3 linked regions of the Stegostoma tigrinum genome follow. The protein of the gene in region 1 interacts with the protein of each later gene in a pairwise test. Links are inferred from orthologs where the notes say so. Each region holds a gene or a part of one and is shown in the gene's direction. Other genes may lie near its edges.

Region 1 (10,352 bases):
TCCTCAAAAAAGTTTGTCAAATATGATTTCCCATTCAAACGTCCATGCTGACTATGCCCAATCAGATGATTTTTATCCAAGTGTCTATTTATCCCATTCTTTACTATATGGTATTTTCCCTATTACTGATGTAAGAATGGCAGGTCTGTAATTCCCTGTTTTCTCTCTCGCTGCCTTCTTAAAAAATGGGTGACATTCTGCCAGAAACATTTCAGAATCTATCAAAAGCTGGAGGATGATCACTAATATATTCTCTATATCATCAATCATTGCCTTCAGCCCTGTGGGATACAGAATATCAGGTCAAGAGAACTTAACAACTTTCAGTCTTATTCATTTTTCCAGAACAACCTTACTACAAATACCAATTTTCTTCAACTCCTCATTGTCCCGAGTCAGTTGCATTTCTAATGCTGGGAGTTTCTTACACCTTTCTCGATGAAAGCAGACATAAAGTAATTATTTGTCTTCTCAACCATTTCTCCATTCCCCATTATATATGTGCCTGACAGACTAACATTCGCCTCAGCCAAACCTTTCCTCTCTACATACCTGAAGCTTTTACAGACCACTTATGGTTTTTTACAAGATTGCATTCATATTCTATTCTCCTTTTCCTTATGAGTCCTTCCTTGCTATACTCTTAAAAATCTCCCACCCTTACGTTTAGTACTATTTGTGGCAAATTTATAAATCTTTTAATCTTACACAATCCTTAATTTCCTTGTTAGCCAGATTTAAGTTTTTATACTTTGAAGGAATGTATAGTTAATGTAAGGCACGTAATATTTCTTTTAAAGCTATCTACAGCATATGTATAGTCATGCCTGTTAATGTATTTTCCCAATCCCAATGTACTCCATGCCATCATTACTTCCTAATTCAAATTTTACATCCTTGCGTCAGATTGAAGTGCCTCACTTTTAAACATAATACACAATTTTATCATACTGTGGTCTTGCCACTTGTCAGTTCAAATCCGGATATTGGCCAAGTCTTGCTGCATTTAGACATGGATGGCTTCAGTGTCTGAGAAGTTGTGAATGGTACTGAACATCAGGCAAGTGTTGGCAAACCTTTCTATTTCTAATGTTATGATGGGGGGGGAAGGTCATTAATAAGAATGGTTGGGCCAAGGGCATTATCTTGAGTAACCCTTGCAGAGATATCTGGAACTGAGATGATTAACGTCCGACAACCACAACCATCCTCCTTTGCTTGGGTATGACTCCGACTCCCGAATCAAACTGATTCCAGTTGTGCAGAGCTCCTCGATGCCACACTCGGGCTGAAGTGCCACAGCCTTGATGTCAAGGGCAGTCACTTTCGCCTAATGCCTGGAATTTAGTTATTTTGTTCAAGTTTGAACCAAGGCTGTAATGAGATCAGGAGGTGAGTGGCCTTGGCGGAACCCGTACAAGGCATCATTCAGCATGTGAGATAACAAAGTGTGGAGCTGGATGAACACAGCAGACCAAGCAGCTCCTTCGGAGGACAAAAGCTGATGTTTCGGGCCTAGACCCTTCATCAGAAAAGGGTTTTCTGATGAAGGGTCTAGGCCCGAAATGTCAGCTTTTGTGCTCCTAAGATGCTTCTTGGCATGCTATGTTCATCCAGCTCCATACTTTGTTATCTCAGATTCTCCAGCATCTGCAGTTCCCATTATCTCTGATCATTCAGCATGTTATTGCGGAACAAGTGCTGCTTGCAAGAACTATCGATGATATATGGGATGATATATGACTTTACTAATGATTAACAGTAGACTGATGGGGAAGTAATTGGCCACGTTGGATTTGTCCTGTTTTTGTGTACAGAACATATTCGGGTAATTTTCTACATTGTTGGGTAGATGCCAGTGCTGTGGCCACACAGAAATCTTCAGCAACTGCTGGAACTATTGCTGGAATGGTGTCAGGGCCTACAGCCTTTACAGAACCCAGAGCCTTCAGCTATTTCTTGATATGATGTGGAGTGAACTGAATTGGATGAAGTCTGGTATTTGCGATGCTGGGGACCTCTGTGAAAGGATGGAATGGATAAATCACAGCAATTCTGGCTGAAGACTGTTGCAAATACATCAGCCTTATCTTTTGCGCTAATGTGTTGGGCTCCCCCATCATTGAAGATGGGAATATTTGTGGAGTCTCCTCTTCCAGCGATTTGTTTAACTGTACACTATCATTCACAACTGGATGTGGCAGCACTGCAGAGCTTAGATCTGATCTGTTGGTTATGGAATCATTTAGCTCTGTAAGTCACTTGCTGCTTACGTTGTTTGGCACATGAAGGTGACAATTAATTTTTAGGAATCCTCCTGTTTTGTTCATTGAGCAAGGATTGATCCCCTTTCTTGGTGATATTGGAAGCCTGGGATATGTCAGGCCAATGAGGTTAAAAATGTTATTAGCTGCCAAAAAAACTGCCTTGTTATCAGTTGCTTCCAGAACGTTGCATAGTTGTATGTGCTGGAAAAATGTCTAATTTACTTAAGTTTAACAGGTATCATTCAATATAGTTTAAACATTGGAAGGGGGATAGAAATAATTTTAAATGTTTCACACGAAACATTCCGCCACTGTCTAGAATACAATGACTGAACAATCATTTTTAATATTGTAAACCTATTCGATCTCAAGAGCCTTGTCAACACATCAGGAGATCACTACTACCAGAGCCAGAGAATCTATTCTCCTCAGCCGGGCCTGCGACAATGGTCCACCCACCACCCCATGGACCACTTAAGGCCACACTCCTCACGTGTATGTCAGACCCATCCCCACCATCACTTACCACGCTCCAAGTTAGATCCCCTGAGTCTCATACAATTTCTCTCTGCCCAACCGCCATGTTGCTCCCGAGGCCTTTTCCCTCCCCCCCCCCCGCGTCAGAGCCGAGAGTAGCTCCACCAATCAGCACGGACAGGCCATTCCACCAATCAGAATGAACAGTCCGTTCCATCCTTTGGTGCCGTGTGACGGCTTCACCAATCAGAGTAAGGATAGCATTTCACTGGTCAAGGGTGTCCAATTAGAACGGGTAACACGCTCCACCAATCATAATGGCGCTATCCCCCCACTTCGACACAAATATCGTGCCCACTTCACCAATCAGAGAACACTGTCCGCTCCGCCAATCGGAGAACGCAGTCTGCCCAATCAGGGTCTTCGCTAATCAGCGGTGCTACCGCTCCGCCAATCAGAATGCAATCTTCTTCACCAATGAGGGTAAAGCTATCCTGGCCCTTTTGATACACGGGGTACAGTTTGTTACTGTCCCCTAGACGGTTCATCAACGAAACGTTTCACTTGTAGCTTGTCCGTGATCCTGACGTAGTGACTTCGGACAAGTTGTGAAGTGACTTCAGCGCAAATGTGGTAGACATGGACGGTATGGCTTAGTTATTTCGTGTGAAATTTAAGGGTTTTTTTTCCCCTGAATTACTTTCTAAGGCTGATTTGGAAAGATTTAAAATGTGTTGCGTTAATCGCAATCTCAAAAGTTTAGCCTTTAGGGAAAAGCGGCAGCAGACGTTTCAAGGATGGAAAACACGTGAAAACGTGTAAAATGATGCGGCTTCATGGGAAATAAAAATGAATATTACTAAGCTAAGAATTTGTGAGACGCCCTACGGTTACACATTTGTAGAGGTGGCTGTAATGGAGTAAGAGGCCCCAACGTGCATCATAGGAATCTTAACGAACAAAATTGTACATTATTGTACAGTGCATAAGGAATTATTGTTCTTAAGCCGAAGGTAAATCGGAAGAGTAAATTCTGAACTCGACGCCCCCCCCCAAAAAAAATCCATCTTTTATTGACCAAAACGTACTGAACAAGATGCGCAATAACGTGTTTTGGAGTCGGTCAGGACGGAAAGAGGCCCTTCGACCCATCACGCGCCTCTGTATCCTAGTCGCATTTTTCACCCCTTGGCCTGGAGTCTAGTGTGTTAAAACGTTTCGAGTGTTCATCTAAATAGTTCTCAAATGTCTTGCGGATTTCCCATTTTTACCACCTTTTCAGGCAGTAGGTTCCAGGTGCGTTGGGGGGTAGAAAACAGTATCCTCAAATTCCCAATAAACTTTCTGCACCTTTAGTTTGAAAACTGCGCCCTCCAGTTAGTGAAAACTCTACTATGGAAATGTTTCCCTCTATGCACATGAGAATTTTGGAGTACTCAATCAGATTTTCCCCCTCAGCCTTCTTTGCTCTAAGGAAATCAAATCTGACTTTCAAATAAAATTACAGCACAGTAACAGGCCCTTTGGCCCTCCAAGCCTGTGCTGATCCAGATCCTCTATCTACACCTGTTGCCTATTTTCTAAGCATTTGTATCCTTCTGCTCCCTGCCCATTTGTGTATCTATCAAGATACATCTTAAATGATGCTGTTGTGCCTGCCTCTGCCATCTCTGCTGCCAGTGTGTTCCAGGGACCCACCACCCTCTGTGTAAAGAAATTTCCATTTATATCTCCCTTAAACTTTTCCCCCCTCACCTTGAAATTGTGACCTCTAGTAATTGAGTTCCCCCACTCTGGGGAGGTGGGGGAAGCTTCTTGCTCTCCACCCTGTCTTGTCACCCCCTCAACCTCTGCCTTTCTAATGTAAATAATCCCAATCTACTCAACATCTCTTCATAGTTAGCACCCTACGTACCAGGCAACGTCCTGGTGAACCTCCTCTGCACCCACTCCAAAGCATCCACATTCTTTTGGTAATGTGGTGACTAGAACTGTACATAGTATTCCAAATGTGGTCGAACCAAGGTCCTATACAACTGTAACATGGCCTGGCAACTCTTTTACTCAATACCCCGTCCGATGAATGAACGCATGCTGTATGCCTTCTTGACCACTCTATCGACCTGCATAGCAGCCTTCAGAGTACAATGGACCTGAACACCCAGATCTCTCTGTACATCGCTTTTCCCCAGGGCTTTTCTATTTTCCACATAGTTCACTCTTGAATTGGATCTTCCAAAATGCATCGCCTTCAGCAAAGCTAAATGGCTGTAGCCCAGGCAATATCCTGGTGAATCTCTTTTGCATGCTCAAATGTACAATCAAATCCTTCCTGTAGTGTGGAAACTAGCACTGCTCACTGCTCCAGCTGTAACCTAATTAACACTATATTCAGGTCCAGCATAACCTCCTTACTCTTGGCTGCTATACCTTGACGAAGAAAGTATCCCATATGCCTCCTTACTTGCTGCCTTCAAGGATCTATGCACACACTCAGCAAGATTCTTCTGGACTTCCTCGAGTTCTTATTATTCAATATGTATTCTCTTGCTGGTTAATGCACCCAAAATGCATCAACTTGTTTACTTTTTAGGATGAAACTCCAATTTATCTATATTGTCCTGTAGTCCAAGGCTTTCCTCGTTGTCATTGTACTGTGGTAAACCACTGGACACAGGCTTCCAGCCATAGCACAGTGCATCCTTTCATCACCACTCTGTGCTTTGCCAAATTGCCCTGGATCCCATGGAATCTGAGCTTCTTAATGAGTGTCCCATGCTCGAACTTGTCTTAAGCTCTAGTGAAGTCTATTCTGGCTGCATCAACTATATCACCCCCATCCACATACAAGTCACGTCTGTGGAAAAATTTAATCAAGTTTGTTAGTTATGATTTCCCCACTTACAAAGCTATGCCCACTATCCTTGATTAATTCAAGGGGACTTTAATTTTGTGTCTCAATTTTCTTTGCCTATCATTTCCCTACCACAGATGTCAGCCTCTCCTGCCTATAGTTTCCTGGTTTATCCCTACACCCTTCATGAATAATGGTATTAAGATTAGCTGTGCTCCGGCACCTTTTCTGTGGTCGGAAAGAAGTTGAAAATTTTCATGGCCCCTGCTCCCGTGCCTCCCTAAGCAGTCTTGGATACATCTCATCTGGGCCTAGGAAATTTTCTACATTTAAAGCTGCTAAAGCCACTAATATCTTCCCCCTCGATGCTAATTTGGTCAAGTGCGTGCATGGTGCATGGAAAATTGTCTCAGTAACTTGATTGTGTTACTTCAAAAAATTCAGAGGGCAGAGCAGTGGATGTGATCCATTTGGACTTTAGTAAGATGTTCAACAAGGTTCCTCGTGGTAGACAGGTTAGCAAGTTTAGATCACACGGAATACAGGGAAAACTAGCCATTTGGTTCCGAATTGGCGCTCAGATGAAAGAGATGATGGTGGTGGAGGATTGGTTTTCAGACTGGAGGCCTGTGACCTGTGGTGTACCACGAGGATTGGTGCTGGTGAACTGATTTTTGTCATTTATATAAAAATAATTTGGATGTGACTATAGGAGAGATAGTTAGTAAGTTTGCAGATGACACCAAAATGGAATTTGTAGTGGGCAGTGAAGAAAATTACCTCCTGTACAATGGAATTTTGATCAGATGGGCCAATGGGCTGAGGGCTGGCAGATGGAGTTTAATTTAGATAAATGTGAGGTGCTGCATTTTGGAAAGGCAGATCAGAGCAGGATATATACGCAATAGTATGGTCCTGGGGTGTGTTGCTGGACAAAGACACCTTGGAGTGCAGGTTCATAGTTCCTTGAAAGTGAAATCGCAGGTAGATAGGAAAGTGAAGAAGGTATTTGGTATGCTTGCCTTTATTGGTCAGTACATTGAGTATAGGAGTTGGGAGGTCAGGGGCTTTGGTTCAGCCACTTTTGGAGTATCGTGTGCACTTCTGGTCTCCCTGCCGTAGGAAGGATGTTGTGAAACTAGAAAGGGTTCTGAACGTTGTCAGGGTTGGAGGGTTTGAGCAATAGGAGAGGCTGGACAGACCAGTGCTATTTCCCTGCAGTGTCATGGATGGGGTAAATGGGAAAGGTCTTTTCCCTTGGGTGGGGGTGGGGCGGAGGCCAAAACTAAAGGGCATAGGTTTAAGGTGACAGGGGAAAGATTTAAAAAGAACAACTCTTTCACAAGGTGGTGCATGTCTGGAATGAGCTGCCAGAGGAAGTGGTGGAGGCTGGTACAATTACAACATTTAAAAGGCATCTGGATTAAATAAGCAGGCTTAGAGGGATATGGCCCAAATGCTGGCAAATGGGACTAGATTTATAAAGGATATCTGGTCAGCATGGATGACCAAAGGGTCTGTTACAGTGCTGTTTAACCCTGACTGTAAGTAAATCACAGTTCCACCCCCACCTCAATTTCTGGACCTTCATCGTCCTCCTTTATTGTGAATGCAAATGCAAAATACATATTTAGTATTCAGCTATGTCTGTCTCTCTTTGGGCTATACACACATGGTACTACTCTTTGTCTGTTTATTCTTGTGCCCCACTATACATCTTTAGATTTTTCTTAGTTTTATCCACCACTGGTTTTTTGCTCTCCTAATTTCCTATTTAAATGACCCCCTTGCACTTTCTAGACTCAAGTGCACCCGCTCTTTTAAGACTTCAGTATCCTTTACCTTAACGCTTCCTTTTTTCTTGTTGACATCTTCATACACTTCCTGAAGAGGCTGATTAGAAAACACCTAATAGCAGACCAGCATGTGGTGTCCATTGATTATGGTCCAGGTCATAGCTGTGCAGCATGGAAACAAACCCCCATCAACATTATTGCTAACGAAACTAGTCCCATATGCCTGAGCTTTGTTTCACTTAAAACAAAAGATTTCCAAGGGACTGTTGTTGTCTGGTGGTAATATCCCTACCTCTGAGGTGGGTGGTCTGGGTTCGAGTCTGAGCAGGCTGATTAGAAATATCATCATCTGTAAAAAAACATGTCCCAGAGGGGCTTTTGTGCTGCTGTGGTAGTGTCTGTACCTCTGAGGCCTGGGTTCAATCCCCACTCAAAACATGTTTCATATGAATGTACTGGTTTCCTGCACAGCTATGCTGCTTCTGGGGTGCTATCCCTCGAGTAAAAGCCTCTGGTAACAAGCCGGCTACATGTCCCAGTTGTGCAAACAGGACACAATCGTATTGCTTAGATAACAAGGTGTAGAGCTGGATGAACACAGCAGGCCAAGCAGCATCAGAAGAGCAGGAAAGCTGACATTTCTGGCCTAGACCGTTCTTCAGAAACCCTCTGCAGTTCCTACTATCTTTGAAACAATCGTATGCTTAGTCTGTTTTGCGCACACTAGATGCAGGACTATCTCTAATACACTTGAAGTGCCTTGGGACATTAAAAGACCCTCTTATAAATGCAAGTTAATACCTGTAGTTAAGCATTAGATTTTTTCTTAAATAGCTGAAACTTAATACATTTTTTTGTTTACTAGCTCCATGTCCAAGCTCAGGCTTTGTAACTCCAAGAAGACAAGACTTGAACAACAGTGTCAGAAAAATAAAGGATACTGCTGCAGACTGGCATAACTCCATGCTGAAATGGGAAACACTTAATGATGCAGGATTCTCAGTAGCAAATAAAATTGTTAACATTATAATCAACACCAGGTAAGCCTTGCAGAGTAAAGTTTCACATGTTGAAATGTTAGTGAAAAAATTTAATTTTAAAACGTGCCCTCAGTGGTAAATTGATTCAAACTAACTTATCTCAGCTTTCACTCTAATGCTTCTGTTCAAGCTGTTGTGCTTTTAAAGGGATCATTATTACACTGCTACAGTCTTTTCGAAACAAGAAATAACACAATAATAATTTCAGTATCAGAGATAATGGGAACTGCAGATGCTGGAGATTCCAAGATAATAAAATGTGAGGCTGGATGAACACAGCAGGCCAAGCAGCATCTCAGGAGCACAAAAGCTGACGTTTCGGGCCTAGACCCTTCATCAGAGAGGGGGATGGGGGGAGGGAACTGGAATAAATAGGGAGAGAGGGGGAGGTGGACCGAAGATGGAGAGTAAAGAAGATAGGTGGAGAGAGTGTAGGTGGGGAGGTAGGGAGGGGATAGGTCAGTCCAGGGAAGACGGACAGGTCAAGGAGGTGGGATGAGGTTAGTAGGTAGCTGGGGGTGCGGCTTGGGGTGGGAGGAAGGGATGGGTGAGAGGAAGAACCGGTTAGGGAGGCAGAGACAGGTTGGACTGGTTTTGGGATGCAGTGGGTTGGGGGGAAGAGCTGGGCTGGTTGTGTGGTGCAGTGGGGGGAGGGGATGAACTGGGCTGGTTTAGGGATGCAGTAGGGGAAGGGGAGATTTTGAAACTGGTGAAGTCCACATTGATACCATATGGCTGCAGGGTTCCCAGGCGGAATATGAGTTGCTGTTCCTGCAACCTTCGGGTGGCATCATTGTGGCAGTGCAGGAGGCCCATGATGGACATGTCATCAAGAGAATGGGAGGGGGAGTGGAAATGGTTTGCGACTGGGAGGTGCAGTTGTTTGTTGCGAACTGAGCGGAGGTGTTCTGCAAAGCGGTCCCCAAGCCTCCGCTTGGTTTCCCCAATGTAGAGGAAGCCGCACCGGGTACAGTGGATGCAGTATACCACATTGGCAGATGTGCAGGTGAACCTCTGCTTAATGTGGAATGTCATCTTGGGGCCTGGGATGGGGGTGAGGGAGGAGGTGTGGGGACAAGTGTAGCATTTCCTGCGGTTGCAGGGGAAGGTGCCGGGTGTGGTGGGGTTGGAGGGCAGTGTGGAGCGAACAAGGGAGTCACGGAGAGAGTGGTCTCTCCGGAAAGCAGACAGGGGAGGGGATGGAAAAATGTCTTGGGTGGTGGGGTCGGATTGTAAATGGCGGAAGTGTCAGAGGATAATGCGTTGTATCCGGAGGTTGGTAGGGTGGTGTGTGAGAACGAGGGGGATCCTCTTGGGGCGGTTGTGGCGGGGGCGGGGTGTGAGGGATGTGTCGCGGGAAATGCGGGAGACGCGGTCAAGGGCGTTCTCGATCACCGTGGGGGGAAAGTTGCGGTCCTTAAAGAACTTGGACATCTGGGATGTGCGGGAGTGGAATGTCTTATCGTGGGAGCAGATGCGGCGGAGGCAGAGGAATTGGGAATAGGGGATGGAATTTTTGCAGGAGGGTGGGTGGGAGGAGGTGTATTCTAGGTAGCTGTGGGAGTCGGTGGGCTTGAAATGGACATCAGTTACAAGCTGGTTGCCTGAGATGGACACTGAGAGGTCCAGCAAGGTGAGGGATGTGCTGGAGATGGCCCAGGTGAACTGAAGGTTGGGGTGGAAGGTGTTGGTGAAGTGGATGAACTGTTCGAGCTCCTCTGGGGAGCAAGAGGCGGCGCCGATACAGTCATCAATGTACCGGAGGAAGAGGTGGGGTTTGGGGCCTGTGTAGGGGTCTTCCTGTAGGAAGAGGGACTGTTCCACGTAACCTACAAAGAGGCAGGCATAGCTGGGGCCCATGCGGGTGACAAGTGTAGCATTTCCTGCGGTTGCAGGGGAAGGTGCCGGGTGTGGTGGG
Region 2 (10,352 bases), on another chromosome or scaffold:
CGGTCACTATTGGGCTCACTTTTACAAATCCAGATTTTTTCAAAGCTCCATTCAAATTTCACCAACTGCCACAGTGGGATATGAACTCATATTCCTGCAGCATTAGCCTTTAGGTTCGAGATTACCAGTCTAGCCATGGTATCACCATGCTATCACCTCACCTGATTATGTAAGACAAAATACTTCAAAAACTCAGGAGATTAGAAGCTGACAAGACCCTCAATTGATTGCCCACATCCTAGAGACTTTAAGTCTCTAGGATACTGGATGAACTGGTTGGAATTTTCCAAAATTCCCCACATTCTGGAAACATCCCAGTGGATTTTTAGAAATAAAAATTAAATGTCTTTTTGAAAAGTGATGGAGTATAAAAGTATGTAAATCTTACTACAACTATACAGGGCTTTGATACATTCTGCACCTGGAATGCAGTTTTGATCTCTTTAATCCTGTTAATCCTGGCATGGACTCCTGGTCTTCTTGGGAAAACTCATCATGGACTCCTGGCCTCAAGGCATTTGATAAGGTTCCCCATGGTAGGCTCATTCAGAAGGTCAGGAGGAATGGGATACAGGGGAACTTAGCTGCTTGGATACAGAATTGGCTGGCCAACAGAAGACAGCGAGTGGTAGTAGAAGGAAAATATTCTGCCTGGAAGTCAGTGGTTAGTGGTGTTCCACAGGGCTCTGTCCTTGGGCCTCTACTGTTTGTAATTTTTATTAATGACTTGGATGAGGGGATTGAAGGATGGGTCAGCAAGTTTGCAGACGACACAAAGGTCGGAGGTGTCGTTGACAGTGTAGAGGGCTGTTGTAGGCTGCAGCGGGACATTGACAGGATGCAGAGATGGGCTGAGAGGTGGCAGATGGAGTTCAACCTGGATAAATGCGAGGTGATGCATTTTGGAAGGTCGAATTTGAAAGCTGAGTACAGGATTAAGGATAGGATTCTTGGCAGCGTGGAGGAACAGAGGGATCTTGGTGTGCAGATACATAGATCCCTTAAAATGGCCACCCAAGTGGACAGGGTTGTTAAGAAAGCATATGGTGTTTTGGCTTTCATTAACAGGGGGATTGAGTTTAAGAGTCGTGAGATCTTGTTGCAGCTCTATAAAACTTTGGTTAGACCGCACTTGGAATACTGCGCCCAGTTCTGGTCGACCTATTATAGGAAAGATGTGGATGCTTTGGAGAGGGTTCAGAGGAGGTTTACCAGGATGCTGCCTGGACTGGAGGGCTTATCTTATGAAGAGAGGTTGACTGAGCTCGGTCTCTTTTCATTGGAGAAAAGGAGGAGGAGAGGCGACCTAATTGAGGTATACAAGATAATGAGAGGCATAGATAGAGTTGATAGCCAGAGACTATTTCCCAGGGCAGAAATGGCTAGCACGAGGGGTCATAGTTTTAAGCTGGTTGGTGGAAAGTATAGAGGGGATGTCAGAGGCAGGTTCTTTACGCAGAGAGTTGTGAGAGCATGGAATGCGTTGCCAGCAGCAGTTGTGGAAGCAAGGTCATTGGGGTCATTTAAGAGACTGCTGGACATGTATATGGTCACAGAAATTTGAGGGTGCATACATGAGGATCAATGGTCGGCACAACATTGTGGGCTGAAGGGCCTGTTCTGTGCTGTACTGTTCTATGTTCTATGTTCTATGTTCTAAATCCAGCATGGATTCCCTGCTCCAGAAAGACTTTTACCTTTATTTCTTTATTTTTCTGATCTATAACTAATATTTTGTACCTAGGTATCTTTGTACTTAGCTTTATAAGGACTGCAATGCTGATCTTTTAACTTTATGCTTTCACTTTTCTAACTTAGACTTAAGATTTTGTACCTTGGTATCTTTGTACATTAGACAGTGCCAGAAATGGTGATTTTGTACACTTTTAGCTGTGCTCATATATCTCTGTACTTTGAGTATGTGACAATATACTTAATTCTAATTTTAATACAAGATACATATTTTCATTGGAATTAATTCAAGTTCCTCAGGCTGATTCCTAGAATGAAGTAATTGTCTGATGAGGAAAGTTTTGTATGAACATGCCAGTTCATTACACTGCATGAACCACTCCTCACCATGAAGGTTGCCGCCAACATCCTCTTTAAATGTAGGCAGTTACTGGGTCTGTTTGGTGTAGAGTGGCAAAGAAGAACTCTTCTTATTCTAACTAGAAGAATTTTTTTTAGTTGACAAGAAATCATTTATTGTATGTTTTCAACTGGTTACTTTGCATTGATACAGTACACAGAGACTTTGAGGAGGGCCAGATACAAGTCCTACTCCTTTGAGATCCGAAACTGTTGTGTCCACGAATCCATGTTATCATACTCAGATGGAAAAATCAGTAAAACATACGAATGACACATTCTGGCCTCACCCATCTTGTACACCTCGAGATAGAACCGTAGTAACTTTGTTTATTTAAACCTTTTATCCTCTCGCTAATGGGTGGTGCTCATGTAATACCTCAGTATTAATGCTTACAGACCCCTATACAACAAAGGTTAAGCTGGCTGTGTCGATATTCCTCGGAGTACTGTAAACATTTAGAAAGCTAAGATGTAATCGGACTGATAATAACAGTTTTGAGAGGGTGGATAGTAGGAGAACATTTCTACTCAGAATACCTCGGCGGGGGGGGGGTTAAAAAAAAGGTATTCCAGTTGAGACGTAGATGAGGAATTTCTTAATTCTTTTAGATGATTGTGAATCTTTGGAAATCCAAAGACAACAGTGGAGATATGGAATATATTCAAATTTGAGTTAAACAGGTTTTTGATTGATAAGGGACTCAAGTGTGATAGATGGTCGGGAAGGCAAATGAATTTCGGGCCACAGTCTGACAACCGTGAGCTTAGAAATGGGGAATGCAGCAGACTCAGTGCATCGAATGGTCTAGTTCTGCTCCTGCTTCTAATGATCTTACTCTATTTTAATTGATTCCTCAGCTGCCGGCAGCCTGTTTGCTAGATCAGGGTGGAATCTCTTTGCTGCCCTGGGGTGAGTCTTCAAATACAAACAACGAGGTCTTCCCTTGGAGTCTAGGCAGCGGGAAGAAAACCGGCTTTGGAGCATCAGCGTATTCCCAGGGATAGCAAGAACTGCAGATACTGGGGTCAGAGATAACACTGTGGAGCTGGAGGAACACAGCAGGCCAGGCAGCATCTGAGGAGCGGGACAATTTTGGGTCGGGACCCTCCTTCAGAAATGGGCCTGTGGACCCGAAACGTCAGTTTTCCTGCTCCTCTGATGCTGCTTGGCCTGCTGTGTTCATCCAGCTCCACACCTTGTTATATCCCAGAGTAATCCACTGCTGATATCTAATTCAGAACCACAGTATAACTTTGAAACGTAAACAATAGTCTCTGAAGAATATAAAATGTGAGGCTGGATGAACACAGCAGGCCAAGCAGCATCTCAGGAGCACAAAAGCTGACGTTTCGGGCCTAGACCCTTCATCAGAGAGGGGGATGGGGGGAGGGAACTGGAATAAATAGGGAGAGAGGGGGAGGCGGACCGAAGATGGACAGTAAAGAAGATAGGTGGAGAGAGTATAGGTGGGGAGGTAGGGAGGGGATAGGTCAGTCCAGGGAAGACGGACAGGTCAAGGAGGTGGGATGAGGTTAGTAGGTAGCTGGGGGTGCGGCTTGGGGTGGGAGGAAGGGATGGGTGAGAGGAAGAACCGGTTAGGGAGGCAGAGACAGGTTGGACTGGTTTTGGGATGCAGTGGGGGGGGGAGAGCTGGGCTGGTTGTGTGGTGCAGTGGGGGGAGGGGACGAACTGGGCTGGTTTAGGGATGCAGTTGGGGAAGGGGAGATTTTGAAACTGGTGAAGTCCACATTGATACCATTAGGCTGCAGGGTTCCCAGGCGGAATATGAGTTGCTGTTCCTGCAACCTTCGGGTGGCATCATTGTGGCAGTGCAGGAGGTCTCTGAAGAATGTTTGTTTTTGAGGGAGTAAATATTATGACACTTGAATGTGTTCTGTGATTCGAAACGCATTATCAAAATACATTTTGAACCTTGACGATACCGTAGTGGTAGGGACCTCCAATCGGAAATCTGGATGGGAGGATGTGTACAGGAAGAAGCGGTGAGTTGATTGGTCCTAGTTGGCGGCACGCGGTTCCAGGTGGACAATATGGCCGCTAGGGGCCGGTACCTGCTGTTTGAAGAGATGTGAGTTTCAGAATTGGAGAGTCTTGCGGATTTTTAATTACTATTCTGATAGATTCACTTGTTCGTCAGGAAAAGTTGCGAAGCTTGAAGCCGTTCAGTCATACATAAAGAGTAAAATCTGTTTGGGGAGAAGACAGTTGCCTGACTTTTATAAATTGAGAATGCAGGAAATAATCAGCGCGTTAGTAGTATTATCTGAAAAGAGAAACGGAGTTAACTTTCAGTTCCCTGACTTTTCATCAGAACTGGATCCGTTATAAACATAGCATTTAGAGGTTTCAGATATTCTAAACGGCCCGTTCAGAGACATTATTATATACCTCTGGAGCAAGTGGGACGAACCCAGGTCTCTTGGCTCAGAGGGAGGGACATCACCATCATGCCACAACAGGTGCATTGGATGAAATTGAAAAAGTAAAGTTGGTACCATGTTCCAGTTCTGATCAAAACACATCAACCTTAATTCTGTTATTTGCATGCATCGCCAGGCTTGTAGAACATACGTTGATTTGATAAATCAAATCAAGATATGTCTATGTTTCAGATTACGTACATTCACATTATTGAGTGAGCTGAATGTTAAGAATTCATGCCTGATCAGAAGAAATTTTGGTCTGTCTTTTAACAATATTAAACGTCTCTGGCTTTTGCAACATTATTTAGAAGCATGTTCACAAGCATGTATTAAATTCTCAAATAATCTAGGTAAATAATTTGTATTTTGCAAGTGATTTGAAGGGTAATTGATACCAATGTTTTTCTGAAATTAATGTTGCTAAGGTCCGTATATGATGATTTACAACTAAAGTAAGAAGAGTGATTAATGCAGTATGGCCTTCAGAATGGACCTTCCATTGTTTGTCATAAGGAGAGGCTGGGACTTCTTTCCCTGGAGCATAGTAGGCTTAGGGGTGACCGTTATATATGTTTATAAAATCATCAGGTGCATACATAAAGTGAATAGCTGAGTCTTTTCCCTCGGGTAGGGCAACTCAGAACTAGAGGGCATATGTTTCAAGTGAAAGGGGAAAGCATTAAAAGGCACCAAAGGGATAACATTTTCACATGCACAAACCACCAGGGGAAGTGGTAGAGGTGAGTACAATTGCAGTGTTCAAAAGACATCTGGACAAGTACACGGATAGGGAAGATTTAGTGGGATATAGGCCAAATACAGGCAAATGGAACTGGTTCAGTTGGGAAACCTGGGTTAGCATGGATGAAATGGGCCGAATGGACTGTTTCCATGCTGTATGCCTTTATGACTCTTATTTTTAGCAGGATTTTTGGGGTACAACTTTGCTTGGATATGTCATGGGCAAACCCCTATTGATATGAACTGCTCGCTGTCAAAGTTCATTTAAACATATTTGTGACGTGTATTTTGTTTTAAATTAAAATCTAGGTCATAATTGAGCTTTTAGCACTAATTTAACTTTCATCAAAATTATTTACTGCAACACTTCCAAGAACACAGGCCAACTGTGGCATCCTAGTTGCTGTATTCTAGACATCAATGAATTCAGCACCGTGGTAGATCTTCTACCAATCTGTGTAAATGAGCTCACTTGAGTGTTGCAAAGATCTCTGTTTCCCCCGTCTTTTCTCCTAAGTACCACACATCAGTTGAAAGAATGTGCAGGTGAATTGTTTACAGGTTTTTACCAGTACTCTTCTAACCAGTTCTGAGAATGTCTGAAAATTTTTGTCTTTCATCTCTGCAGGAAAATGGGTTCTGCCTTTGGTTAGCAGATCAAGAAGTTGCCAAGTGCAAACTAATTGAACCTGTGCAACAGAGTTTTAAATCAGCACTGGATTGTTGATTCAGGTGAAGCATGAATGTTTCAAGTAAGCATAATGTTGAAGTGCATTCTGTTTTATTGACTGCTTGCTGCTTGAGAAATGATATGCCATAGTTGTAGTTCAAAGATATTTGAAGGGAATGATATTTGCAGGTATACAAGTACTGTAGACAGTTGAATATTTTAAGCCCTGATCTGTTTGAAGTTCCAACAGCCTTTACAAGCAAGTTAAACTCAAACTTGCATGTTAGCCTCAAAGGGCACATCATCCCATTATCTCTGACATCATTTATATATTTGGGCTTTGCTCATCCCTATCTTTGTAACCTCATCCGGTTCTACCATCCAGAATATCTCTGTCCTCTTCTGACTCTGGCCTCTCGTGCAATCTGAATTTTAATTGTCCCACTGTTGATTGTGCCTTCAGCTGCTAAAGCTCTTAAGTTCTGGAATTCTCTCCTTCACCTCTCTGCTTTTGTACTCTTTCCTCTCATCTTTTGAGATACTCGTTAAAATCTGTTTTGTTCACTTGTTTTATTGTCTCCATTGTGACTGTGTTTAATTAAAAGCCTTTATGAGGCATTTTTTAAACCTTTTACTATGGTAATGATGCTGTACAAATGGACATTCACAGTAGTGGTGAATGTGTGGAATAGACTGTCTTTGGTAATTGGAAGTGGTGAATTCTTTATATATTGAGATGCAAGTGGCATATTTGTTTTAGGCTGTGATCAGATTATCTTTTGCAGCCCTTTTATTCTATAATTGGTCATGTATTAGAAGACTTTTTTCTGACTTTGGTGAATATCTGCCATGAAAGTCTTCAATTTTGGATTAAGAAAGTCTTCTTTGTGCGGATGTCAGCTTTCTGCGATCTGCCTTTTGATAAAGCAAATGTTAATTTAAGTGTGGATATTGTTTGTAAATGATTTATCTGTTGGCTGTTCTGCCCTGCAGGGTCAAATGCTGGAGCCATGTCATCAAACACCCTCTTTACAAACTCGGCAAAGAAACGAAACAGCTCTATTATTTATAGTCTTGAAAGCATGCCATCAGAAATTCCAATTTCAAACTTTGCAGGACTTTCCAACCGAGGAAAGAAGACCATAAACAGTGACATTGAAGGATTTCCACCAAACAAACGCCACAAAGCAGAACAGGACACTAGAACAAATGAGGATCCTTTTGGAGATAATGAAGATTTCACTGCAGATGATTTGGAGGAACTTGATATTCTAGCCTCACAAGTTCTAAGTCAGAATGTGACCAATGTGTCCAATGCTATGAAAGCATCAGTGAACAATGCTAATAACAGAGGACCATTAGGACTAACAAATGACGCAAGTATAAAAGTTGCTACTTTAGCAGCTGGATCATTAAGAAATGCAAATGCAGTAAAGGAACTTCCTGGTAATGTGCAGGTTTTTAATTTCAGGACTTTCAATATTATACTCAAAGCTGATGTGGTAAATTGTAAAGTTTTAAAACGATTATGTAGTTAGTTTTCTCCATTCTTTTGCCATATTACAATGACATGAGCACCAGTTCCAAGTGGGCATGATTCACATGTACACATTCTCAAATTGTTGTGGCAAACACTTTGACAGAAGGGGGTGATTTACGAGAGGCATTTAGTACCACAGCTGAAATTGATCTGCTCACTAGGCAGCATTCACATGCACGCATTTCCCAGTTCATGACATTTGCTGCATTGACAAAGTGGTGCTGAGGCTAACTTTTATGACCCAGTAGGTATTCAAACTAAGGTTGCTTATTAGTGATTAGGATTGAATGTGGAACATTTTTGGCCATCGTACCCTGGCTAAAGTCTCCATAGATTTGTTCTTGTTGACTCATGAAGTAACTAACATGTTATAACTTTTAAATTGGTACAACTTTGATACACCTGTATACAGTTAAATTAGATGCAACAATAACTTATTTGTGTTGTGCGCCTCAGAAAAAAGTATTTTGGTGGACTTCATAAAGAGAAGAAGCAGGCATTACAAGGCACTCGTCAGACCACAGCTGAACAGATTGGGTTCCTTGTCTAAGTAAAGATATACTGGCATTGGAGGCGGTCAAGAGAAAGTTCACTAAGCTGATTCCAGATAGGGAAGGACTGTCTTATGAGGAGAGTTTGAATTGATCAGGCCTGTATTCTTTGGAATACTGAAAAATGAGAAGCCACCTTGTTGAGTTATAGTAGATGCACAGAAGACAGGATAGATGTGGAAAGGATGTTTCCTTTATGGGAGAGTCTGGGATTGGGGACATAATCTCTGAATAAGGGATCACATATTTATGAGGATTGTACATCAGTGGAATTCATTCCACAAAGGGTTGTTGTGGCTGAGTCATTAAGTGTATAAATTTTTAATCAGTAGGCCAATCTAAGGTTAGCAGGAAAAGGCAAGAACGTGGAGTTTAAGATTAGTAGATCAGCCGTGGTCTTGCTGAATGGCAGAGCAGACTCATTGGGCTGACTGACCTGGTTTTGCTTTAGTCTCGTATGGTCTTAAATATGTCAAAGACCATGCAGGCTGGAAACTAGAATCTTATTTCAAGAAAAAGTGTTTGAAAGTGGGGAGAGACATAACTAAGCACAGTGATTTGATAAGTGTTCCAGAACTATAGGATTTATTGGCCTTTGAGATTGTTGAGCGAGTTGAAACCAAAATTCAGAATCTGTAGAATAGAGGATAAATCCTGTCGCAGTTGGATGAAGTAAATGGTGGACAACTTTGAGAACTAGCTCTGATTTCTGAAATCAAATCGTGAATGAAGTGATCCATTTGTTGAAACGTGTCTCAGCAGCAGTGAGTGGAAGTTTGGGACACAAGATCAAAGAAGACAAGATGAATTTGAATGTTGAAGGGAGACTATTTTATGCTTGAGATTGTGTGCAGCACCAGGTGGAGTCATGGATTTTCAACCAGTGGTAGATAATAATGGGCTTAAGATATAATGAACAATTTTCAACTCACCCAGACCTTAATGTTGGACAGGAAATTCAATTGCCATTACAATGCTGTTGGCATACTATGTTGAAGTAGAGTTGAATGTTGATGGTGGGGCTGCTGTTTAATGGTGATCAAATAAGTCACACTCAGCTTTAACTAAATGGGTTTCAGAGATTTCACCCATATTATTAGGATTACATACAACAACTTCTTGATAATTAAGGCCACTTTATTTTTGCATAAAGTTAGATAAAGGCAGTACTTCTTGTGGTTTTCATAAAAGGGAGAGTCAGAAAAACATTGTACACATTGCACACAAAGCAGAAAAATGTACCATTTACAGGATGATTATGCAGGGTTGGTTGCAAGCAGTAAAAGTTTGTAAATTCCAATTTAATCACTGACTTTCCTGTTTTCTCTTTTTGCCCAAAGGGAATGGTCTCATTCAAAGTAGTGATACTGATTCATTTGGATTTGAGGTTCTTCAAGAACAACATGAGAAGCTGAGGCAACAGGTGATCTAAATTCTTTTGTACAGAAATGACCGTGACTGAATCAATCTGACTGTTCATACTAACAGTGTAGAGCGGGAGGAACACAGCAAGCCAGGCAGCATCAGAGGAGCAGGAAAGCTGATGTTTCAGGTCAAAACCCTTCTTTAGAAAATTTTCAGATTTTCTGAAGAAGAGTCCCGACCCGAAAAGTCAGCTATGTTCCTCCAGCTCCACACTGTTATCTCTGACTCCAGCATCAGCAGTTTTTCGCTATCTCTGACAGTTTGTACTGCTGGCTCGAGACTTTGCATGTTGATCATCCATCTCCAAGGGCTGTTATCAACAACTTTATTCTTACATTTGGGTAATTGCTGACAAAATTTATATCACTGAATAAATGTTGTGCAGTTTTTAGATTTGTCTGAAACTTTGTGCATCTGCATGGGTTCTTTAAGTCTGTTAAATGACAAATCCAAACTGCAGCCTGAAGTTTCCTTTCTTCATAGTGCTTTCTTCATATTGCTTTCATTTTTTCCTCTACACTGGATGATGCCCTGAGCCAAGTATAATTATACTAGATTTCTGGTCTTTTGTCATGTATTTAACAACAAAAAGCTTTTTTTTAAACCTCCAGAAGGCTTTTAAAAAATATTGTCAAGAAGAAAATAGCATAGCTTAGTTTGGCAATTTTTTGGTTGGTCTTGAGTTTCTGATGATACCAATGATTTTTTTTCTCGGTGATCAGAACATCAAAAACAAAAGCCTGAATGTTAATGTTTACAGGGGTTGAGAGTAACATTGTAAAATATGCTTTTGTTCAGGATTATCTTTGGAGGCCTTTATTTGTCAATGAATAAAGAGAAAACTGTTTGCGTCATTGCAGAATTGCTCACTGGACTTGCATCTGAA
Region 3 (10,352 bases), on another chromosome or scaffold:
AATCTTTGTCATAGAGTTATATAGCATGGAAACAGACACTTCGGACAAACCAGTCCATGCTGACCATAATCCCAATCTAAACTAGTCCCACCTGCTAACACTTGGCACATATCCCTCTAAACATATTTTATTCATGTACTTATCTAAATGTGTTTTGAATGTTGTAACTCTACTTGCATCCACCACTTCCTCTGGAAATTCATTCCACAAACGAGCCACTTGTGTTAAAAAAAATTGCCTCTCAAGTCTTTTATAAATCTTTCTCCTCTCACCTTAAAAATATGCCCCTTAGTTTTGAAATCCCCTATCCCAGGGAAAGACACCTTCCATTCACCTTATCTATACTCTTTATGATTTTACAAATTTCTATAAGGTCACCTCTCAACCTCCTATGCTCCATAGAAAAAAATGCCAGCCTACCCAGCCTCTCCTTACAACTCAAACTACTGGCAACATTCTAGTAAATCCCTTCTGAACCTTCTTCAGCTTAATAATACTCTTCCTAGATCAAGGCATTGAATTGCAATATGTAAATGATGCTTGTAAATGTGCACACTCAGTGTTCAAACTCTAAACCATTATTGATGCATTAATGGAGGCCAATGAAAGAACAGGTTAAAACATCAGAATTTTTTCAGGGTGGGAGTTGGAAAATGCACCATACCTTTATTGTTTTCAGTTTTCTCATCAGGAAATGTAGACACAAGGCCAAAGGAACAATTCCAAGAAATCCAATGAAGTAAAACCATTCCTGGGCTTCAGTCTCACTTTCAAAGCAAACATTGTTCATAGGGTATGGCAGGCAGTACTGAGATTTAGATTTCAAGCTAATGCCCAATATATCTTTTAGAAAAAAATCCATCATAAATCTTTATGAATGCAAATTGACGTCAATTGGGGACAATAAATTAAACAGTTGACACATGTATGATTGAATAACTGTGACATGTTCAGGAGAAGAATAAAGTTAGCTGAAAAGCTTTTGGCCACCATTGCCTGGTTGCTGGGTAGGGAGGATATGACATCACAAAAGAGCATTTTATTTGCTATGATCACGGCAATATCACACTGAATGTACTTGCCTTTGGTGAATATTGCGAGGCTGATTCCTAATGTGAGGGGATTTGGTATTCAGAAACTGAATAAACTAGACCTATCTTCCATGGAATTTTAAAAACGACATGATATAACTGAAAGATGTAAAAGCTTTAAGGGCTTGCCAGTGTAAATGCTGATGTTCCCTCTGTCTCAGAATAAGAGGTTATCCATTTAGGACCAGTGATTGTGAATCTTTAGAATCCTCTATCCTAGGAAGTTGGGGTTTCTCAGTCGTTGAATATATTCACAAGAGTTGATAGATTGTTGGGTACTAAGGGATACAAGGAGTATGTTTGAATAAAGACCTTTGTACACTGTGGCTTACCATACACTTGATCTCTCACATCATGAAATATCACGGATGTAAATAAAGCTTTAGGGCAGTAGCTAATTTATACTTCACATGGAACAGGAGGTCAGAAGTGTACAACTTGGATTCAGCATATTTTCACAACTGAGAGCAAATAGCTGCAAAAAACAACCGTGACTTAATTCTGAGATAACAAGGTGTAGAGCTGAATGAACACAGCAGGCCAAGCAGCAGGAAAACTGACGTTTCGGGCTTAGACCCTTCTTCAGAAATGGCTTAATTCTGAACCCTTATACCGGAAATTGGCAACTGTGTAAGTCATAACAACTATGAATATTCCAGCACTTACTCCTGAAGAAATGAAATTAAATTTGAGACTGAGTTGCAAATTCTTCCAGTCTTAGAAGCAGAATTATGCAATTGCCACAGAGTTGAGCAAGAAACCTGTAAAAGTCCAGAGTAGCAACTCTGTTATCAGTATGAGAGAAAGCTTGGCACTCTAGATCTCAGCAAAGAACCAAACCAAACTTACAGTTTTTAAGGTTTTGAAGACCCAATTTAAATACTCTGCTCATGTTATTTATAAATGCTATGTGTTTAACACTAGAGACCAGGAAGGCAAGAAGAATACTGACGGCAATGAAATGTCTAGTTGAATCTTATGAGTCAGGGCAACTGAACGATGATTGCATCAGAGATAAGATAGTCCTAGAAAGAAGTGATTCTGCTTTGAGTGTATGTCTGCTGAGAGAAGAGAAACCTATTATTAAGGAAACTGTTGATGTGTAGAATCTCTGAAGTGTTTAATCATCAATTGAAGTGTATTGATAGGACAACTGATGAAATTATGTATTATGTTGAGAGACAATCCCAATCTTCCAAGCACACGACAACTGAAAGGAAGGATGATTTGAGGAAAGGACAACATAAAAATCCAGTTTTCAGTACTGGATTTAAATACAAGGAGGACAACACAAGAAAGAAAAGAAAGTATGTTTAGCACAGGGAAAGCAGACTGTAATTGCAGCAAGCTGAATCACTTTACATACAAGGATTTTGTGAGAAAAAAGAAAATTAAACTGATAAAAGATAGTTGCTGGAGAATTATCAGCTGTTGATTCTGACAAAATACTCCACATCCTAGAAAAAAGTTAGTACTGTATTGTCCCAAGGCGAAAAAAATCTGAGTGTTGAAATGATGATTCCGGAAGCACATGAAGCGAATCAAATTAAACTGTTCTTGTGCAAATCACAAACTTCGCAGACTTTTGTGAACTTTCCCAAGACGATAACCTGGAAATTAAGTTGTAAAAGGCAATGTTTAGGCTCCATGATGCAGAGCAAGAGCAAACCAAATTGATGTCCAATAATGTGGAAATGAAGATGAACTTTAATTCTATACGATGGGTACTAAGCAAAATTCTTGAATTTCGATAGATAAAAACTGTTACAGATAGGGAGAGAGGTTCATTTAATTATTTTACATTTGTCCTCTTCTGTTCACAAGTGGAGGAATTTAAAACAAAATTGTATTTACTTTTCCTTTTGAGATAGACTATGCTGTATTTACCACCCATCCCAAGACCTCTGTTGGTGCTTCTTAATTTTCCACTTGTCCCACAATATACTCTGTAGAATGTTTAAAAAGTGTAGGTTTCTTATATGTTAAGTCCCAGGCTATGGATGAAGCTCTGAATAGGCCTCTTTACCCTCACTGGAATAGATTACCTTGTTAAAACTAATTACTATTACGTAGAAACAGAAGATAGGAACAGTAATGTGCCATTCAGCCTTTAGGCCTTCTTCACCATTCAATATGATCATAGCTGACCATACAACTCAATGCTGTGTCCCTGCTTTCTTCCCATAGCCATTGATTTTTTTTAGACCTAAGACATATATCTGAATCCCTCTTGAAAACATTCAATGTTTTGGCATGAACTGCATTCTGGCACGCAGAATGCCACAGTTTCACAACTTTCTGAGGGAAGAAATTTTCCTCAGCTCAGTCCTAAATGGCCCACTGCATATCTTTAGACAGTGATGCCTGGTTCTGGAAGTTCGGACTGCTGAGAATTAGATCAGCTGATGTTAATAACTACCAGTGAGACTTTGGAATGCCTGAAAGAGCATTTCAATTGCCTTGGCATTCCTAATATGATAAGCAATAACAAGCCTCAATCCATGAGTTAAGACATTTAATAATTGCTTGGAAAATTCAGCACTACATATCCTCTCCACATTACACCCAATCAAAATGGAACAGCTAAGGCAGAAGTTAAAATTGTCAAAGGATCATCAAAAAATATATTGGATTCAGCATAAATGTGTACAAGGGGTATTCTTAGAGGGAGAAATAAACCCTCTGAAGCAGAGAACATGGTCCAGATCAGCAACTAACGTCATGCTGCGTGCTCCTTACAGCAGCATGACTGAAGCTAGCAGCAGCAACAGTGCATGATAAGATCAAAGTATAATGACAGATAGCTAAATTCCGCTTTGATAAAGGTGACAAATCAGTGCCAATGTTAGAAAATCATCAGAGTACAAACAATTCAATACATTCAACATAAGTCATTAACCTTGGCAATTTGAAGACTTGAGACACAAGTCATCATAACTTTACATTGTGAAAGCCAATGACCCCCAGATCTATCATTGCAACTACATATGGAAAGATACAACCAGAAATAACTGATGAAGGAGATTTGATTTGTCAATTGAACAAGGTACTGAAACACCATCAGTTCCAGGGGTCAACATTTCTCCAAAACAAAATGTACACAAAGTGTTCGTACATATCATGCCTCTATATCAGATAGGACCTTAAATCAGCCCCTAGAGGACCCAAAGGTATACACTACCACTGTGCCATAAGACCCTCAATTCCCAAAAATGCAATGAATTTACAGCACCAATTATCACAGCTGCCATTGTAGCAATGTTCCCTAGAAAAGTAATGACACGCCTATAACTGCCGACACCACACAAATGGCCAAAAACAACAATTAAAATACATGAATGATTTAAAGATTTATGTCCAGTACAGGTACAGGACAGGCAAAATTGGAGTTGACTAGAAGGACAAAGATTTCCCCCCCGCGCATGACAATTTTCTTTATGGATTACGTTCATAACTTGCAAAAGATCTACTCATGTTTTCCTTTCTTACAGTCTTATTGTGCATGCAATTTTTTAAAAATGAAAGATTGGATTGTTTGGACGAAAATATTTTGCAGCTTATGATGCATCATATTCATGTGACCTATATATCAATATATAAATATTTTAGACAATATACACACCACATGGAACAAACGATTGACACTGAAGAAGTGAAGATAAATCAGCCATGATCTAACTGAAACGCCGTTGACACAACCGCGTTTTACCTGGACATCATATCGATCGTGACGTCAGGTGATGTCTCACGCACGACGCCGGGGCCGTGGCTCCCAGAATGCCTGTCGCGCAGAAAGCGGGCGGGGATCTCTATGGAAACGGGGCCTAACGACAAAGAAAGAAATCTGAAGCTACACATCTCCAGTACTCAGTAGAGAAGTTAGAAAAAAAATCGAGCCGACAGGAACAGTCTGGGGAAGAGTAGGGACGGGGTGTGGCAGGGGCAAACGTGGATTGATTCCGCGTTCAGTCACCGGGCAATGCTCGGCGTTTGGGAATCGGGGAAGGCCCGTGAACGGGACCAAAGCTAGGCGGTATTGGATACAGTGGAAATATAGTATTTTGTTGTGTTTCATGACCGAGGAAGATAGGGCCCCATCTAGACTATAGATTCCATCAGCATCATGTCATTCAGAGACCTGAGGAGTAAGGATAATTTTCATGTCTGAATTTAGGCTGTGGGTAGAAGTAGCGTTGGTTTTACAAATATTCGGGTTCAGTAGGTCTGCTATTTAACCCTGGAGGATCATCATCTTTGTATATTATTTATATTCAGAAACAGCCTCCAACTTTTTAAATTTTAGGATAGACAGAGCTACGGAGACAAAAATGATCTTAGATTACATAGTTTCTCTTACACTATTTACCCAGGAATGAATTTTGTCATTTATAATGAGAATAAGATTTAATTTGCATTATCTGCAAGATTATTCCTTACACCATCCTCTGTTTTGTAAAAGCAGGCTGAGGAGCACAATAATTTGCCATTAGTTCCATATTGTATGGATGCATCAATTATTAGTACTTTCTCAGACTTGTCAATATTAATCCTTAATACATTATTTAAGAAGAAAGCCTCTATAATCAGTGTACAGATGTAATTTGATACTACAAGAATAGAGTATCCTTCTGAGAAGTGCAATAATGGGAAAGTTCCAGAAATTAGCACCTCCAAGCTGCTAATTAACTAATGTATGTATAAACACTGATGACCTATTGTATTTCAGACTTCACTGAGATGATGAGGGCTCTGGGGTATCCCCGTTTGATCTCTATGGAAAACTTTCGGATTCCGAATTTTCCTTTGGTATCAGAGATTCTCATTTGGCTCGTTAAAAGGTTTGTGATCTTAAAAGTGCACTTTTATAATAACCTTAGTTATTCAATATCTATGGAATGAATTATGAAAGTTTTGGTATTGAATTTACTTTGGTATCTGTACCACTAACCAAGGCTGTATAGTTTTGTAGCAGCACTGTCTGTTTGGAAAATTCATCATTTTTCTCTCAAACAGCATCAACATCTTCTGAAATATCTGGATATTCATCTAGTTTGATCATCTTAGGACCTTGCTATGTGCAAATTGGCTACAGCATTTGTCTGCATAAAAACATGAATACATATTAAAGTGACTGCATTTGAGGCCAATGCAACTGTGAGATGAAAAACCACGTGCAGCTGCAAAATCACATCAATGCATTAATGTATTTCTGTGGTTGGTATAGTAGGCCATTGCAGAGAGGGAGTCATCTAGAATATTCCCAGTGATTTTGCTTGTATAAATGGAGTGTTTAGATTGAAAATTTTGCACTAAATCTTTACTTTTATGATAAGACTGTTTAAGACATAATAAATGAGAAATCGTAGCAGACCTTATGGCACAAGTCTGTTACTGTAACACTCATCCTTCAGCTGATGTGCACTTGTTCATTACGTCTTGGGAGTACGATATAGAAAAAAGGGAGTGCAGGTAATTCCGATCTTTGGTCTGTTGAGATTTAAAATAAGCAGTTTGTTCTTGCTGGAAAGTATGAGGTTTGGATTCTGCTGCACTACATTTGTTACAGTTGACAGACTATACCATCACCTTCCATTTTAACTGTGTTTTGGGGATAACCTTAAAAGTTCTAATTTCCTTTAAAAGGGAGGGGGGTTGTGAAAATAGTACACTGGAAAGTAACTTACCTTACTTGGAACTTGTTTTATCAGATACGAACCCCAGACAGATATCCCAACAGATGTAGATACAGAACAGGACCGAGTTTTCTTCATCAAAGCTGTAGCACAATTCATGGTAAGCAGCAAATAGCTCTTCCTCAGCCTGGTGTGTGAAAACTGTAGGACAGCATGAATCTGGGATGAACTCCAGAAACCTGCAGTATGTTTTGTGAATATATTTACTTTGTATTGCAGGCTACTAAAGCTCACATTAAGCTCAATACTAAGAAGTTATACCAGGCTGATGGATATGCGGTGAAAGAGTTGCTGAAGATTACTACTGTTCTCTATAATGCTATGAAAACAAAGCGAATGGACACAAGTGAGGATACAGAAGAAGATAGTTCAAAATTCAAATTTGACTTGGGGTCGAAGGTGAGTAATGCAACTTAATTCCTCATTCAGGACAAGATTAGCACAGATGTTTGTTGTTTGAGCAGTACAATACAAGAGAACATAAGGGCAAATTCAGCAATGCCCCTCTGCCACCGAAATCAATTCTCACTAAACCATCCCTCAGGACCAGGGCTATTGTTTTCTAGCCCCACCTATGACTCATTACCCTTTCCAGTGAAATTCTGCTCCACAGGAGCTTTGCCTTTTTGAATTTGCACTGTATTTTGACTGAGAGTATGTTTAACAATCTAGCTTTACTGTTCCATCAAAGTGTTGCCGCAAGGTCAAGTTAGCAGTTCAACACTCAACCATACAGGGAACTTAAGTGAAACTTTCATTTTGGCCTACAGCAGTGAGATGTTTTAATCCTGACCATGTGGTAAATATGTGTTATACACCTGTTACAACCCAATGATTTGCTCCTGGACTGTACAAAATATATAAATAAACCCTGACAGTGCACAAATTTTGGTGCTAACATAGAGTCTGTCTTCATGATGTAAACTGCCCTTAATAATATTTGCAGAGAGATGTTTTGTAGCTTATATTTTCCATCTTCTCACCTATTCCAGATATCAGATTTGAAAACTGCCAGACAACTAGCTTCTGAGATTACCTCCAAAGGAGCAACTGTATTTGATTTGTTGGGAAAAGAAGTAGACCTGAGGGTGAGTCAGCAGGTTTCTGATCAACTAGCATCTGACAACTGGAAGATAACAATATCCCCAAATAAAAGATAAATGGTTTTACTGTGTTCAGTGTAAATTTGTGACACTAGTTCAACAATGTCAAAAAACTTGCTGCAGTTTGTATGACCATCATAGGGAGGACTTGCTTCTGAACTTTTGAATATCAAGTCACTGGTGAACTGACAATTCAAAACCATAACAAAATGCTGTGGATTCTGAAAATCAAAATAAAACATAAAAATTGGAACCCTCAGCAAGCTACGCACTATCTCTGGAGAGGGAAACACAGTTAACATTTTAGGTGCTTACTGGCTCACTTCAGAGAATTACATAGAAATTACAGTGAGGCAAAGGGTATCAAATGACTGGCCTAATTCTGAAATTTATGCTTGTCAGGAGCCTCCTCCCACTATTTACTTAAATCAGCTTTTTGACATAATCATTTCTCTGTAAACCAGTTGCCTGACTTCCCTTAAAATGTTTTGCTGCTACTTAGTTACTTTAAATGGAGCTGAGGTACATGTTAGTGGGACAAAATTTCCAACATATGAGTTTGACACAACCAGCAGCAGTTGAGAACTGAAGATGATAGCTTTGCTAAAAGCTATGAGCTGGCTGACACAGTAACAGGGGCTGGATTTTTACCTCCCTTTGTAATTGTACGTTGTGTAGTGAAATATTGAATTTTTAAAAAATATATTATTGTCTGCTTTTTTGACCCTACAAAACTTGTATATTGTCAGCATGGTTCCAATGGTCTTCAATCCTCCTGAAGACTTGCTCTCCCATGACAGTGGCAGAGCCCTCAGTCTTCACTTCCATCTGTACTGCCTTTCTGTTTACCAATAACTCAGTTATGATCAAGGCCACTTTTCTTGCTTTTACGCTTGTCAGACATAACTGTCCATGTCATCTCTGTACGATCACCGAATGGTACACAGACATTGTATTGTTTGATTTGTTAGGCAGGCTTTGTTCATGTTTTTGTAGTATGGTTTTTATTCTGTATCTTCCTCCTCTAGCAAGTATGCTTGAACTTATGCCTCAAGTAGCCTTTTGTTTGGCACCTGAAGCATTTAACTTCCCTAAATTTGCATAGTTCTGTGAAGTGGCTTCACCCAGATCCGAAACACACTGCTTATTTGGGGTCTATGTGAGGCTGGTGGTTTAATATTCTAAATGTTCCAGTTCCCACGATCATTTAAAAACCGAAAGAACTGCAGATGCTGTAAATCAGGAACAAAAACAAAGTTGCTGGAAAAGCTCAGCAGGTCTGGCAGCATCTGTGAAGGTAAAAACAGAGTTAATGTTTCAGGCCTGGTGACCATTCCTCAGAACTGATGTTGACTGGGAAAAAGTTAGTTTATGTGCAGAAAATGGGGACGTGGGTTGGGTTGGAAGTAAATGATAGGATATAGCCCAAGAGGAAAGAAAGACAGTTGGGCAGACAAACGAGTTGCTAACGATCAGGCTGGGAGGGTGAATAGTTGTTAATGGGCACTGTTAGTGACTAACAGGGTGTGTGTAATGGCAGGCTATGTGGTAACAAGGCTTGGTGTGTGGGATAGGGGGCTGGGACATGGGAGAGTTTAGGCCCTAAATTTGTTGAACTCAATATTGAGTCTGGCAGGCTTTAGGGTCCTCAAGTGGAAAATGAGACGTTGTTCCTCCAGCTTGCATTGGGCTTCGCTGGAACACTGCAGCAAGCCAGAGACAGAGATGTTGGCCAGGGAGCAGGGTGGTGTGTTAAAGTGTGTTAAAATCCACAAACAGGACTGTCCGAGCAGATCCATTGTTTCAAGATAACAAAGTGTGAAGCCGGATCAACACAGCAGGTCAAGCAGCATCTCAGGAGCACAAAAGCTGACATTTCGGGCCTGGACCCTTCATCAGAGAGGCCCGAAACGTCAGCTTTTGTGCTCCTAAAATGCTGCTTGGCCTGCTGTGTTCATCCAGCTTCACACTTTGTTATCTTGGATTCTCCGGCTTCTGCAGTTCCCATCATCTCAGATCCATTGTTTCAACCTGCTCGTGCCTCACAGAACTCATCTCTTTCTGCCTTGACTCAGTCTTCTTCACCTGGTCCAATCCCTGCCTACGTATATCCTTGTTTCCTCTGACGCCTTATGTGGGTTTCGAAACTTCCAGTTTACCGGTTCCAACTACCTCCTCTTTACCATGGACGTGCAATCCCTTTACATGTCCCTTCCCCACCAGGAGGGTCTTGGGGCTCTCCGCTTCTTCCTGGAGCAAAGACCTGAACCATCTCCACCCACCCACCACCCTCCTCCACTTGGCTGAGCTTGTCTTCCCCCTCAACAACATCTCTTTCAATTCCTGTCATTTCTTCAGGTAAGAGGGGTTGCCATGGGCACCAGTATGGTTCCTAGTTATGCCTGTCTCTTCATGGGGTACGTGGAAACTTGTTAAAATCCACAAACAGGACTGTCTGGGCAGAC

The links.
Region 2: the proteins of cinp (region 1) and atrip interact in binary tests that used the Homo sapiens proteins (3 or more experiments, as listed by UniProt). The link is inferred for Stegostoma tigrinum from reciprocal best matches to the Homo sapiens genes CINP and ATRIP.
Region 3: the proteins of cinp (region 1) and cluap1 interact in binary tests that used the Homo sapiens proteins (3 or more experiments, as listed by UniProt). The two-hybrid records come from large-scale screens. The link is inferred for Stegostoma tigrinum from reciprocal best matches to the Homo sapiens genes CINP and CLUAP1.

The regions. Positions count from the first base shown.
Region 1 is NC_081363.1:38,564,738-38,575,089, reverse strand, and holds the start of cinp (cyclin-dependent kinase 2-interacting protein), read left to right. Parts: upstream 1-3,237; 5' UTR 3,238-3,383; coding exon 3,384-3,390; intron 3,391-8,259; coding exon 8,260-8,434; intron 8,435-10,352. UniProt on the Homo sapiens protein: Component of the DNA replication complex, which interacts with two kinases, CDK2 and CDC7, thereby providing a functional and physical link between CDK2 and CDC7 during firing of the origins of replication.
Region 2 is NC_081364.1:20,425,115-20,435,466, reverse strand, and holds the start of atrip (ATR-interacting protein), read left to right. Parts: upstream 1-4,088; 5' UTR 4,089-4,184; intron 4,185-5,908; 5' UTR 5,909-6,019; coding exon 6,020-6,032; intron 6,033-6,943; coding exon 6,944-7,396; intron 7,397-9,381; coding exon 9,382-9,464; intron 9,465-10,352. UniProt on the Homo sapiens protein: Required for checkpoint signaling after DNA damage. Required for ATR expression, possibly by stabilizing the protein.
Region 3 is NC_081376.1:31,624,149-31,634,500, forward strand, and holds the start of cluap1 (clusterin-associated protein 1 homolog), read left to right. Parts: upstream 1-4,845; 5' UTR 4,846-5,214; coding exon 5,215-5,236; intron 5,237-5,817; coding exon 5,818-5,929; intron 5,930-6,799; coding exon 6,800-6,884; intron 6,885-7,003; coding exon 7,004-7,183; intron 7,184-7,776; coding exon 7,777-7,872; intron 7,873-10,352. UniProt on the Homo sapiens protein: Required for cilia biogenesis. Appears to function within the multiple intraflagellar transport complex B (IFT-B). Key regulator of hedgehog signaling.